Anolis sagrei: one gene and its partner. The protein of the gene in region 2 interacts with the protein of the main gene of each other region in a pairwise test. Links are inferred from orthologs where the notes say so. Each region holds a gene or a part of one and is shown on either strand. Other genes may lie near its edges.

What was found. The genes of interacting proteins can lie anywhere in the genome.
Region 1: the proteins of SPDL1 (region 2) and DNAAF4 interact in binary tests that used the Homo sapiens proteins (3 or more experiments, as listed by UniProt). The two-hybrid records come from large-scale screens. The link is inferred for Anolis sagrei from reciprocal best matches to the Homo sapiens genes SPDL1 and DNAAF4.

What each region holds. Positions count from the first base shown.
Region 1 is NC_090029.1:1,583,346-1,590,857, forward strand, and holds the start of DNAAF4 (dynein axonemal assembly factor 4), read left to right. Parts: upstream 1-4,499; 5' UTR 4,500-4,605; coding exon 4,606-4,731; intron 4,732-6,898; coding exon 6,899-7,046; intron 7,047-7,512.
Region 2 is NC_090022.1:104,866,030-104,873,439, reverse strand, and holds the start of SPDL1 (protein Spindly), read left to right. Parts: upstream 1-4,391; 5' UTR 4,392-4,516; intron 4,517-7,410. UniProt on the Homo sapiens protein: Required for the localization of dynein and dynactin to the mitotic kintochore.

The DNA of each region.
Region 1 (7,512 bases), on a different chromosome or scaffold from region 2:
AACTCAAAAAAACATAACAACTGTTGCAGTAGGGCAACCATTTACCAGGATTCCATGAGATCCGTGGAGAAGGAAGAAGACAGAGACAGCTTAGCAAGTTTCCAGTATTTATTCTTACCCGGGTAAGGGTGCTCAGTTTCCCCAAAATGGCTGATGAAGCACAAAGCTCTGTCCAAGTTAGCCCAGTATTTATAGATAGAATTACCAGTTTGCACATGCGTATACCAACTCTGCCACGTACACAATACATAATCATTAACAGAATTCTTATATAAGAACACTTTTGGCAAATCATCACGACCCCAAATATTTTTCTTTCCATCAACCTTTAGCCTTATCCCCAGATGACATGTTCCTAATTTTCTTAGATCTTAAAATGAATCATAACTTCATATATATATATATATGTTTTTAACATAAAACTTATTCAAAGTAATTTCCTTATTAATTCTTCGGTAATTATTTTCATAATATCTTGTTTTTCCTGGAATTGGTCATTTTATAGAATGTGTCTGAAATTACCTGCTATTTACATCAAATAGACAGGAGATGGCGCTCTCTTACTATATGACCTTAGATGTTCCAGTCTTGGATCAATAATATCGATCTGGCCTTCTATGTTTAGCCTAAAGTCAACCTTCGGCTTCCTCAAATATTTGTTTATGGAACAAGCCACCCCGACCTCTTATTGATTCATACCGTCTGCTGATTTTCCCTTACTCTAAAAATCTCTTTTTAATCGCCAGAATTAAGGTAGGACCTTCTGTTTCTTAAATTCATTTAAATTATAATTATTTTCTCCCTAATGACTGCCACACAACAAACTCACAATTACACAACCAAACGGAGCATGCGCAGAGGAGTCCCGGCGCGAGTCGCCCGGTGCGCGCACATGGCCGCACCACGCCCCCTCCGTGCAAGCCATGCTTCCTCCCATCACTGCCCTGCCCCTTCCCCCATGCCAAACCGAGCGCGGCCTAGGCACCGACGCTGAAGCCCCAGCCTGGGAGTGGGAGCTCGCCCGCCTGTGCACGCTGGGGGCCGGCCTGGTGCACGTGCGGCACGGGGGGCTGTCCACCTTCCACGGGCCCGGACAGCTGGTGGCCTTCCCGAGGCGGGACCAGTGGAGGCTGACCGGGAGGCCCCCGCTGCGCACCTTCGTGGCCCTCCTGGGAGAGGCCGCGACCCGCCTCTCCCAAGGACAGCCCTTCGGCCTCCGCCACACCCGGCCCAGGCCGCCACCGGACACCGGCGTCTGGCTCCAGGGAAGGAAGGAAGGACGCCGCCATCGGGCACGATGAGGAACAGGAAGGAGGGAAGGAAGCGGGTGAGGGAAGGATGGACGGAAATGAGGGGAAGGGGTGTAAATAGGAAGGAAGGGAGGAAGGGAGGAAAGAAAAAAGAAGAAAAGTGGGAAGGGGAAGGGAAGGTGTAGGAAGGAAGGAAGGAAGAAAAGAAGGAAAGAAAGAAGAAAAGTGGGAAGGGAAGGTGTAGGAAGGAAGGAAGGGATATCAGAGAAGAAAGGTAGGAAATAAACAAACGGAGGGAAGGGGAAGGGAAGGTGTAGGAAGGAAGGAAAGAAGAAAAGAAGGAAAGAAAGAAGAAAAGTGGGAAGGGGAAGGGAAGGTGTAGGTAGGAAGGAAGGAAGGAAGGAAGACAGGGATATCAGAGAAGAAAGGTAGGAAATAAACAAAAGGAGGGAAGGGGAAGGGAAGGTGTATGAAAAAAAGGAAGGAAGGAGAAGTTGAGAAAGTATATGAGGGAAGAAAGGTAGGAAAGAAAGAAGGAAGAGAGAGTAGGAGCATGGGAAAGGAGGGAGGAAGGAAGGAAGGAAGAAGAAAGGTGTGGAAGGGAAGGTGTAGGAACGAAAGGAAGGAAGGAAAAAAGGACAGAAGAAAAGGGAAGGGAGGAAAGAAAGCAAATGAAGAAGAGAAAGGGAGGGAAGGAAGGAAAGAAAAGGAAGTATGGAACTACAGAACGAAGGAAGGAAGGAAAAAGAAAGAGGGAGGAAAGGAGACAGAGGAAGGAAAAGAAAAAGGGAGGAGGAAGGAAAGAGGTACAGAAGGAAGGAGGAGAGAAGGAAAGAAAAAAAGGGAAGGGAGGAAAGACGCAGCAAAGGAAAAAGAGAAAGAAGGAGAAGGAAGGATGAAAGCAAACAGCTAAGGAAGGAAGTAAACAGGTAGAGAAGGAAGAAAGGAAAGAAGAACAGGAAGGAGTGAAAGAGGCAGAGAAAGAGGGAGAGAAGCCTGGCCACAGCAACGCATGGCGGGTAAAGCTAGTCTATCTATCTATCTATAAAATGCTCTGTGCATAATGAGTACCTTAAAAACCAAAGAACCGATGAACAAAATCACACCAAATTTGGTAACAGAACGTCTCACAACACAAGGAGTGACCATCACTCAAAAATTATGATTTTGTCATTTGGGAGTTGTCGTTGCTGGGATTTATAGTTCACCTACAATCAAAGAGCATTCTGAACTCCATCAACGATGGAATTGAACTAAACTTGGCACACAGGACTCCCGTGACCCAACAGAAAATACTAGCAGCATTTGGTGGGCATTGACCTTGTGTTTGGGAGTTATAGTTCACCTACATGCAGAGAGCACTGTGGACTCAAACAATAATGGATCTGGACCAAACTTGCCACAAATATTCCATATGCCCAAATATGAACACAGATGGAGTTTGGGGAAAATAGACCTTGACATTTGGGAGTCGTAGTTACTGGGATTTATAGTTCATCTACAATCAAAGAGCATTCTGAACCCCACCAATGATGGAACTGAACCAAACTTGGCACACAGTTCTCCCATGACCAACAGAAAATAGTGGAAGGGTTTGGTGGGCAGTGTCCTTTGGTTTTGGATTTGTAGTTCACCTGCGTCCAGAGATCACTGTGCACTCAAACAGTGATGGATCTGGACCAAACTTGGCAACAAATCTTCCAGTATGAACACAATTGGAGTTTGGGGAAAATAGAATCTTGACATTTGGGAGTTGCAGTTGCTGGCATTTATAGTTCACCTACAATCACAGAGCATTCTGATTTCCAGCGATGATGGAACTGAACCAAATTTATTTATTTTTATTTATTTATTTACTGCACTTGTAGACCACCGTTCTCAGCCCTAGGGTGACTCACGGCGGTGTACAACATGTAAAAACAGGTACAATTTACAACACAAGCAATATCACAACAACATTAAACAACATCACTATCAATACTACAATTACACTAAATCATTCGCGACGTCTCATTGTTGAATCACAATCCAAATCTCGTTATCCATGTTCCATTCCAATCGTCATTGCCAGTTATTGCAGCACTTACTCAAACGCCTTCTCAAACAACCACGTCTTTAGTCTCTTGCGGAATGTCATAAGGGAGGGCGCCCGTCTGATGTCTACAGGGAGGGCGTTCCACAGCCGGGGGGCCACCACCGAGAAGGCCCTGTCCCTCGTCCCCGCCAGGCGTGCCTGTGAGGCAGGCGGGATCGAGAGAAGGGCCTCCCCGGACGATCTCAAAGTCCTTGTGGGCTCATAGGCCGAGATGCGGTCAGACAGGTATTTTGGGCCGGAACCGTTTAGGGCTTTGTAGGCCAACACCAGCACCTTGAATTGGGCCCGGTAGCAGATCGGCAGCCAATGGAGCTGGAATAACAAGGGCGTTGTGTGCTCCCTGTGTCCCGCTCCTGTTAGTAACATGGCTGCCGCGCGCTGGACTAGCTGGAGCTTCCGGGCCGTCTTCAAGGGCAGCCCCATGTAGAGAGCGTTGCAGTAGTCAAGGCGGAATGTGACCAGAGCGTGTACCACCGTGGCCAAGTCAGACTTCCCGAGGTACGGGCGCAGCTGGCGCACGAGCCTAAGCTGTGCAAATGCTCCCCTGGTCACCGCTGACACCTGGGGATCCAGGCTCAACGATGAATCCAAACTTGGCACACAGTTCTCTCATGACCAACAGAAAATACTGGAAGGGTTTGGTGAACATTGACCTTGAGTTTGGGAGTTGTAGTTCACCTACATCCAGAGAGCAGATCCAGTGATGGATCTGGACACAAACAATGATGGATCTGGACCAAACTCCACACGAATACTCAATATGCCCAAATGTGAACACTGGTGGAGTTTGGGGAAAACAGAATCTTGACATTTGGGAGTTGTAGTTGCTGGGATTTATAGTTCACCTACAACCACAGAGCATTCTGAAGCCCACCAATGATAGAATTGGGCCAAACCTCCCACACAGAACCCCCATGTGGGCCATAGCAACACGTGGCAGGGGACGGCTAGAAATAATATGATAAAGTCTCTTCTGAAGGCATCTGGTTGAGAAGAAGCAGAAGCAACTGCAACGGGCAGGGTTAGAGGCCTCCCTGCCGAGTGGCAGGCTGGGAGTCGTAGTCTTTTTGGGGATCCTTGGCGCTTGTATTCAGAAGCACCAAACTCTGCAGAAAGACTACGACTCCCAGCCTGCCACGCGGCAGGGAGGCCTCTAACCCGGCGTGGCAAGCGCGCGCCGCCTCCTAGAAACCGTTGCCGAGCAACCGCTGGGCCCTTAGCAACGTGGCCGTTTAGAAGGCCTTCCTCGATTGAGAAGCCATGCCGGTTTGGGTGCGCGATTACAGCTGGGAGCAGACGGAGGAAGCGGTGTATTTGAGGGTCCAGGTGCGGAAGGAAGGCCGCCTCCGAGGCTCCGACGTCTTCTGCTCCGGACAGTGCCTGAAGGTCAGGGACAAGGCCAGGAAATACAGAATTGTACATAAATAATCATTAAAAATACAAATGAATCTTAAATCTTAATAATAAATATATAAATAATAGTAAATAGTAATAATAGTAAATTACTGATGTTATAAATAAGAATGAATAACAAATAATAGTAAAATGTAAATCATAACTATAACAACACATAATAAATATTTATTATTAATCGTTTATTATTAAGATTTAAGATTTATTTTTATTAATTATGATTTAGTATTTTTATTATTTGTTATTATAGTTATTCATTCTTATTTATATTTGTTTATAATTATTTTTATTAATTATTATTTACTATTTTTATAAATATAAATAAGAATGAATAACTATAATAACAAATAATAAAAATACTAAATCATAATTAATAAAAATAAATCTTAAATCTTAATAATAAATGATTAATAATAAATATAAATAATATTTATTATGTGTTATTATAGTTATGATTTACTATTTACTATTATTTGTTATTCATTATTATTTATAATAACAGTAATTTACTATTATTATTTATTATTCTTTACTATTATTTATATTATTAAGATTTAAGATTTATTATTATTAATTATTAAGTATTTTATTATTTGTTATTTGCTATTTACTATTATTATTTGTTATTAATTATTATTTATAATAACAGTAATTTACTATTATTATTTATTATTAATAAATAATAGTAAATAATAGTAAATAATAAGTTTGGTCGTGTCAGGAGCGACTTGAGAAACTGCAAGTCGCTTCTGGTGTGAGAGAATTGGCCGTCTGCAAGGACGTTGCCCAGGGGACATTGCCCGGATGATTTGATATTTTTATCATCCTTGTGGGAGGCTTCTCTGATGTCCCTGCATGAGGAGCTGGAGCTGATAGAGGGAGCTCATCTGCCTCTCCCGGGATTCGAATCTGCGACCTGTCAGTCTTCAGTCCTGCCGGCACAGGGGTTTAACCCACTGCGCCACTGGAGGCTCCATAATAATAAGTAATAATAATAGTAAATTACTGTTATTATAAATAATAATGAATAACAAATAATAATTAATAGTAAATAATAACTGTAATAACAAATAATAAAAATAGTAAATCATAATTAATAATGATAAATCTTAAATCTTAATAATAAATGATAAATGATAAATATAAATAATAGTAAATAAATAATAATAATAGTAAATTACTGTTATTATAAATAATAATGAATAACAAATAATAAAAAATAGTAAATAGTAAATCATAACTATAATAACAAATAATAAAAAATAGTAAATAATAATAATAAATCTTAATAAATGATAAATAATAAATATAAATAATAGTAAATAATAAATAAAAATAATAGTAAATTACTGTTATTATAAATAATAATGAATAACAAATAATAATTAATAGTAAATCATAACCATAACTATAACAACAAATAATAAAAATGCTAAATAATTAATAATAATAAATCTTAAATCTTAATAATAACTGGAACTAGTAAGTATAAATAATAGTAAATAAATAATAATAGTAAATTACTGTTATTATCAATAATAATGAATAACAAATAATAATAAATAGTAAATCATAACTATAATAACAAATAATAAAAATACTAAATAATAATTAATAATAATAAATCTTAAATCTGAATAAGAAATGATAAATAATAAATATAAATAATAGTAAATAATAATAAATAACAAAAATAATAGCAAATTACTGTTATTATCAATAATAATGAATAACAAGTAATAATAAATAGTAAATCATAAATCATAACTATAATAACAAATAATAAAAATAGTAAATAATAATTAACAATAATAAGTAAAATTAATTAATTAATTCAGATTCGCTGGAGCGCAGAGGCGGCAGGAGCCTTCTGATTGGCTCTGGCGCACTGCAGAAGCACTGTGATAGGTCCAGACGCGCGGGGGACGGCCAAGCTTCCTCCCAGCTGTTTGCGCACCAGCCAATCATCTTCGAGCCAGGCGGGAAGCGGGAGATTTGAAACTCACAACTCTGTATTTTCTATAAAAATGGCTCTAGGTGAGCTCTCCTCTGCCTCTATGGGGAGGAAGGTGGGATAGAAATAAAGTCAATAAATAGTATAATATAATGATGAGGATGATGATGATGGATGTCTCCCCAGGTGAGCTCCCCTCCGTTCCTCTTCGAGGTCCTTCTCTGGGCTCCCATCGATGATGTGCGAAGCACCGCCAGGGTGGAGGAGGGCTGCGTCTCCTTCACTCTCTACAAACAGGAGCCCTGCCTTTGGGAGTCCCTTTTCATGGAGGGAGGTGAGATCCTGAGCCTTTCATTTCATTTATGCATTTGGCCCTAAAGGGCGTTCCAGAGATAGGGGGCCACCACTGAGAAGGCCCTCTCTCTCGTCCCCACCAACCGCACTTGAGACGGTAATGGGACCGAGAGGAGGGCCTCCCCGGAAGATCTTACAGCTCGTGCCAGTTCATAGAAGGAGATGCGATTGCGGAGATAGGCGGGGCTCGAACCTTTTCGGGCTTTATAGGTCATGACCTGCACCTTGAATTTGGCTCAGCAACTTATCGGCAGCCAATAAAGCTGTTTTAATAGGGGTGTTGTATGATCCCTATAGTTCAGCTGCCCCCTGTTGCAGCAGTTCAAACTTCCAGGCCATCTTCAAGGGCAGCCCCACGTAGAGTGCATTGCAGTAGTCCAGTTTGGATGTAACCAAGGCGTGGACCACCCTGGTCAAGTCAGACTTCACGAGGTATGGTCGCAGCT
Region 2 (7,410 bases):
TATTTATTTACAGCTTTTATATTCCGCCCTTCTCACCCCGCAGGGGACTCAGGGCGGATTACAGTGTACACATATATGGCAAACATTCAATGCCAATTTTGACATACAAACATATACAGACATACACAGAGGCTATTTAACTTTTTCTGGCCGCCAGAGGAGCTGTCACTTTCATCGCCCATCTGCGACGCTGATGAAGTACCTCCGTATTCCTCGCATGCTTCCCCGCTGGAGTGCTTCTTTATAGCCTCATAAATTAGCTAATTTTAGCCTCCCCACATTTTTAAGGTGGTACCTTATTTTCCTACTTGACAGATGCAACTGTCTTTCGGGTTGTAAAGGTCGACAATGGGCTACACAATGGTTGGAAACCCACTCCAACCCGGGCTGGCTTCGAACTGATGACCTTTTGGTCAGAATGATCTTAATGCAGCTGACACTCAGCCAGCTGCGCCACAATCTCTAGTTTAGTTTTCTAGAGATAGCAAATCACAAGTACGTAATAGTGGAGCTCAAGAAACAGAGCCAAAGTTCCAGATCACTGGGGTCTAATGTTTTTGGCACAAAATAGAAATTACTAATTGCTGTAGAGGAGTCTGCTGAACTTTACTCAAAATTGGGTGGTTGTAGGGTTTTTTGGGCTATATGGCCATGTTCTAGAGGCATCCTCTCCTGATGTTTCGCCTGCATCTATGGCAAGCATCCTCAGAGGTTGTGAGGATGCTTGCCATAGATGCAGTTGAAACGTCAGGAGAGAATGCCTCTAGAACATGGCCATATAGGCCAAAAAAACCCCTACAACCACCCAGTGATTTCAGCTATGAAAGCCTTCGACATTACTCAACATTTCTGAGCATTGTATAGGATATTATAGCTACTAACAGCGGCTAACTTCTAATTATGCTTCCACTAACTGAAATTTTATATAGATGTAGAACTATGTATAGTTTCATGTTTTATTTTTTAGATGTAATCTGGATAACAGGATTTGTTGGCCAGTGATCACCATGAAAGACAAAGTGCCAGTGGGGGACTTGTGCAGAAACTTTTTTGACATTTAAAACCTCAATAAGACACAAAGATCCCCAAAATCTGCTGTTCACAAGGTTGATGTGGGGGGGGGGGGGTATTATGGTGGCCACAATTTTGCAGTTCCCTTGCTCCTAAATGGGTTTCTGAGGCTCCTTCTACACTGCCATATAAAATCCAGATTTGAACTGGATTATATGGTAATGTAGACTCATATAATTCAGTTCAAAGCAGATAATATGAATTACTTCATTTGATAATCAGGATTATATGGCAGTGTAGAAGGGACCAGAGATTAAGAAGCTCTCTTAGAATGGCTTCTTGGTGGGAAGAAGCAACTGTAGGACTCTTTCTCTGTACAGATGAAACAATCAAATATTCCTGTATAGCAGGGCCATCTAGGTAAATAAGTAAAGCACGCCCAAAGGCCCTTCCAGTCAGGCCCTATATCTCAGGATCTGAACCCAGGTTTTCTGTTTATCCCAGATTATCTGGCAGTAGGGGATCATATAATTCAGGTTAAAGCAGAAAACCTGGGATCGGATCCTGGGATATAGGGCCTGACTGGAAGGGCCCTAAGAAATGGCCATCCACACCCCGTCTGAACCCCTTCAAAGAAGGGAAGTCCACTAGCCTCTAGTCCCTTCTGCACTGCCATATAACATCCAAATTATCTGCTTTAAACTGAATTATATGGCAGTGAAGGCTCAAATAATCCAGTTCAAAACAGATAATTTGGATGATCTGCTTTGATAATCTGGATTATTTGGCAGTGTAGAAGGGGCCTTGACAAACATATTAGTTATATTTTTATGTGCCTATACATTGTGTGATTATTTGGCTCCCCTAAAATTTTTAATTTTGAGTAAGAAAATAGGTCAATCGCTAGATCCTCCATACACACTAGAAGCAGAAATAAGAGGTTACGTCCAGTGAATCCAATGTAGATAGAAGAGTTGGAGTCTCCAGATGTTTAAATAAAGTTTTTTTTAAAAAAAGATCAGCTTAATGTATTTCACCCAGAAAGTATCCATATAACCCGCCTGTTAAAAGAAGAAAAGGGGGAATAATAATTAAGAGCAAGGGATAAAGTATATAATTATGTTTATGTGTGTGGTATGTGCTTCATGTCAAAATTTCTGGAAAGCACGTAGAATAGGAAATACTGACATCCCTTTGCACAGACTAGAGTTAAGAGTGCAAGACCCCCATGAAAATGGGTAAAACATATATTTAAAACACTTTTGAAAATGTGCTATGGAATTGTGGGAGTTGTAGTTTCACAAGTTTGTTAGCCTTCCCTGCCAAAGATTGTGCTGCCTCACCAAACAACAAATCCCATGATTCTATAGCACTGAACCATAGCAATTAAGGTGGGTTCAAACTGCATTAGTTTTACAGTGTAGTTCAGGCCTGGGCAAACTTTGGCCCTCCAGGTGTTTTGGACTTCAACTCCGGTAGGCTGTTAGGAATTGAAGTTCAAAACACTTAGAGGGCTTAGGTCTATAGCACTGAACCATACCAATTAAAGTGGGGTCAAACTGTATTAATTCCACAATGTATTTCAGGACTGGGCAAACTTTGCCCCTCCAGGTGTTTTGGACTTCAACTCCGGTAGGCTGTTAGGAATTGTGGGAGTCAAAGTCCAAAACACCTGGAGGGGCAAAGTTTGCCCAGGCCTGGTGTAGTTGCACCTCTAGAGATTCGTAGGGAGGACACATTTATCAAATCTGCAAATAATTAAACCTGCAAATGTGGAGGGCTGACTGTAATATATGACACTAGATAGAACTGCACAGATAAAAATGACATGCAGGGACTTATAAAAAGCGTCTTGTCAACTGATCCCCATCAAGTGATTACTCTTTTGAGTAAGAGGCAAGGAATTATATGCTTATCCTGTTATCTCCTGTCTGTAAAGCACAGCCATTTTTAATAATAAGCAGGAATGGAGTTTGGGAAACATAACCTTTAAAACTGATGGGAGTACCGGCCCCAAGTACCTAATCTCTTTCTCTTCTCAATCAAGTCTAGTCAAAACAGAGAAAAGCAACATTCTTAAAAGGAGGAGGCTCCTTATTTGGAGGCTTTTAAACAGAGGCTGGATGGCCATCTCTCGGGGGTGCTTTGAATGCAATATTCCTGCTTCTTGGCAGGGGGTTGGACTGGATGGCCCAAGAGGTCTCTTCCAACTCTAGGATTCTAGGATTCTGTGAATGGTTCCACTCTATATGGTGATCCATCAAAGAGAACACACATTTTTTTTCCAACCAAGGCATTATCCTTATTGCTATTTTTAACATTATAAATGAAGTTTTGTGGTGTGCTGCACTGCCTCCCACTTTTTTCCACGACTTTTTGAAACTCAAAAATTGCAAAACAAAATTGCCTAATGACTTGAAGATGGTCCCCTAGATTACTAAACGCCTCTCAATTAATGCAATCCATTACATAACTTTAACAATAATTAATGATAATTTCACATCTGTCATAATTTATTGCACAAAGCTAAACAGAAGCCAAACTACCGACAAAGTTCATTTAATTTCTACCCTACTTCTAATTAATTACTTTAATTTGTATGTAAATAAAAATAATTATTCATGTCATTATTGAGATAAAATGGCTTCCATTCTTTTTGGGGGGCTGTTGTGAGTTTTCCAGGCTGTATGCTATGTGCCAGAAGCATTCTCTCCTGACATTTCGCCTGCATCTATGGCAGGCACTTGTGCGTTTTCTGGCCTGCATGGCCATGTTCTCCTGACGTTTCGCCTGCATCTATGACTGGTATCCTCAGAGGTCGCCTGCCATAGATGTAGGCGAAAGGGCAGGAGAGAATGCTTCTGGAACATGGCCATACAGCCCGGAAAACTCACAACAACCCAGTGATTCCGGCCATGAAAGCCTTCGACAAAACTGAACTTTCTCCGAGGCCCCAGTTACTCTAGTTTTGCTCTCTAACTGCATTTGCTTGGATTCTTACAATGTGTGCATTCTACGCTGTAGAATTAATGCAGTTTGATAACACTTTAACTAATTGGCTCAGGGCAATGGAATTCTGGGAATTGTAGTTTGGTGAGGTATTCGCACTCATTGGTAGACGCACCCTCTATCTGAACTTTGGTTACGCGCCATCCGCCTTCAGCTTGCACTTCGTTACTTCAGATCACATATTACCCCTTTGCCATACTGACCGTCCACGCCCAAGGCTGCTACAGCGCATGCTCAGTGCCCTTTGACGGGAAACCGCTGTCATGTGCGTCAATTTTCTTTTAGAGCATGCTCACTCGCTTTACCAATTACGAAGTCCCTTTTCCTCATATCCCTGCCTCTGCCACAATCCACGCATGCGCATAAGAAGCTGCCTGAAGCTTAAGCCGTGCCTTCATTGTGCCGGGGAGTTTGAAGTCTCGCGACGATTGGGAAGTCTCGCGCGGGATTGAGGGCGAAATTTAAAAACAGCGGAAGGGAGAGGAGAGAGAAGTTGGTGAGTGGCGCGGTGGTGAGGGCCTCCTCTCTTCCCTTCCCCTCTAGTCATGTATCGCCACTCATCCTATATATTTCTGGGTACTTGTCAATATAATAAGTATGTCCCCCCCCCCTTTTTAGTTTCCTAGTGGCTTCCAAATACACATCAACTTAAGCAGTGAGCATCTTCTTGCTGAGGATATCTCCCCCTCCCGCGAATTTACATTGGCGTGCTCTGGGAAAAGGCTTTTGAAAGTTATCATTATTGTTTAACACAATTATTAGTATTATTCTTGTTATTAGTTCCTATTTACTCTTCTGTTCCGTAAATGGGAGACTACGAATAAAAACGGAGTGCTTTAAGGCCTCTGCTACTTATACCTCTGTCCCCTTGGCTCAATGACAAACCTCATCGTTTATTTGAATAAGCTTAAAACTATGTGCATCCTTATGAAAAACACCCATGGTTATTGGATTTCTGAACATTTCCTGTACCAGTATGCTGCTCACCCAATACATTTTTGCCATGGAGTCTCTGCAGGATTAATAGCAGTGACGGGGGAAAACAATTGCCATGGAGATGATGATGGCAGATACAGGCAGAGAAAAGTGTCTCGTCTCTTATTATCTCAGATACTTTTCTCCCTAGGAACATTCCTTTGTATTCACAAAGCTTACCAACCATCTTGGGAAGGTGTTTTCTAGAAAAGTGAGGAATTCCTTGTGCAGATTCCTCTTCTATCTCGAGTATTGTAAACAGGGTCTTCTAGGTTGTGACACCCAACTATTAGAAGAAGTTCCCCAGAGATATTAACTTGGCACCAACTCTTTACAGAACCAGGGACAAGTGCGTTCATGAGTGCTGCAGATATCCAATGGTTCATGCCCACTAGAACAATGTTTATTTATTTATTTGTCGTGTCAGGGCAATCAGTCAATTATATTACATTTCTAACAGAACAAAGCAAACAAACAGACAAAATACAAAATTTGTGAAGTTTGGCAGTTGATTAAACGTCCTTTGACCAGTATCTGGCCACTTGGAGTGCTTCTGGTGTTGCTGAAAGAAGGTCCTCCATTGCGCATGTGGCAGGGCTCAGGTTGCATTGCAGCAGGTGGTCAGTGGTTTGCTCTTCTCCGCACTCGCATGTCGAGGATTCCACTTTGTAGCCCCATTTCTTAAGATTGGCTCTGCATCTTGTGGTGCCAGAGCGCAGTCTGTTCAGCACCTTCCAAGTCGCCCAGTCCTCTGTGTGCCCAGGGGGGAGTCTCTCATTTGGTATCAGCCATTGCTTGAGGTTCTGGGTTTGAGCCTGCCACTTTTGGACTCTCGCTCGCTGAAGTGTTCCAGCGAGTGTCTCTGTAGATCTTAGAAAACTATTTCTAGATTTAAGTTGTTGACGTGCTGGCTGATACCCAAACAGGGGATGAGCTGGAGATGTCTCTGCCTTGGTCCTTTCACTATTGGCTGCTATTTCCCGGTGGATGTCAGGTGGTGCAATACCGGCTAAGCAGTGTAATTTCTCCAGTGGTGTAGGGCGCAGACACCCCGTGATAATGCGGCATGTCTCATTAAGAGCCACATCCACTGTTTTAGTGTGGTGAGATGTGTTCCACACTGGGCATGCATACTCAGCAGCGGAGTAGCACAGCGCAAGGGCAGATGTCTTCACTGTATCTGGTTGTGATCCCCAGGTTGTGCCAGTCAGCTTTCGTATGATATTGTTTCTAGCACCCACTTTTTGCTTGATGTTCAGGCAGTGCTTCTTGCTGGTAAGAGCACGGTCCAGAGTGACTCCCAGGTATCTGGATGTGCTGCAATGCTCCAGTGGGATTCCTTCCCAGGTGATCTTCAGAGCTCAGGATGCTTCTCTGTTTTTGAGATGAAAGGCACATGTCTGTGTTTTAGATGGGTTGGGGATCAGCTGGTTTTCCCTGTAATAGGCAGTAAGAGCACTTAGAGCTTCGGAAAGCTTCTGTTCTACCATCTCAAAGCTCCCTGCTTGAGCAGTAATGGCATGATCATCAGCATAGATGAAACTCTCTGTCCCTTCTGGCAGTGGCTGGTCATTTGTGTAGATGTTGAACATGGATGGAGCAAGCACGCTCCCCTGAGGCAGGCCGTTCTTCTGTTTCCGTCATCTGCTTCTCTGGCCCTGGAACTCAACAAAAAAGCTCCTGTTTTGTAGCATTTTTCTCAGGAGGAGGCGGTGGTTTACAGTATCATAGGGTTCTGACAGGTCTATGAAGACAGCTCCTGTGATCTGCTGCCTTTCAAAGCCATCTTCTATGTGCTGAGTCAGGTTCAACACTTGCGATGTGCAGCTTTTGCCTTTTCTGAAGCCAGCTTGCTGTGAGATCAGACATGGGTCTATTTTTTCCTTAATTCTATGCAAAATAAGTCTCTCCAGAACTCTGTAGAAGTGGCACAACAGGGAGATTGGTCTGTAGCTTTTTGGGTCATTACAGTCTTTGCCTGGCTTCAAGATGGCGATGATTCTTGCTTTCCTCCAGATTTTGGGGATCTGACAAAATGCAGTGCAGTTGTTCATCAGCTCCAGCAGCCAACACCTTGCTTTTGGACCAAAGATTTGGGAGGATGCCCTTCCCAAAAGATTAGCTTGCCAAATGGTTTACAGAAGGCAAGATCAGCTTTCATCATTGAAGAAAAAGCTTTAATTTCCTGCAATGTATAGCACACTGGACGGTCATTTTAGCAAGTGTTCAATGTGGAATGTTAATTCAATCCATAAATTCTGCCACTCTCAAGGCCAGCTCTGACATTTTGACATGTTGCTCTCCAGAACCTCTTATTGTGCTCTGAAAAAATATTCAGCACACCCAACACTGAATACATGAGCCCACTAGCTCTAACAGACAAGAGTTCTTTCTCTCACCCTGGACTTTCCACAA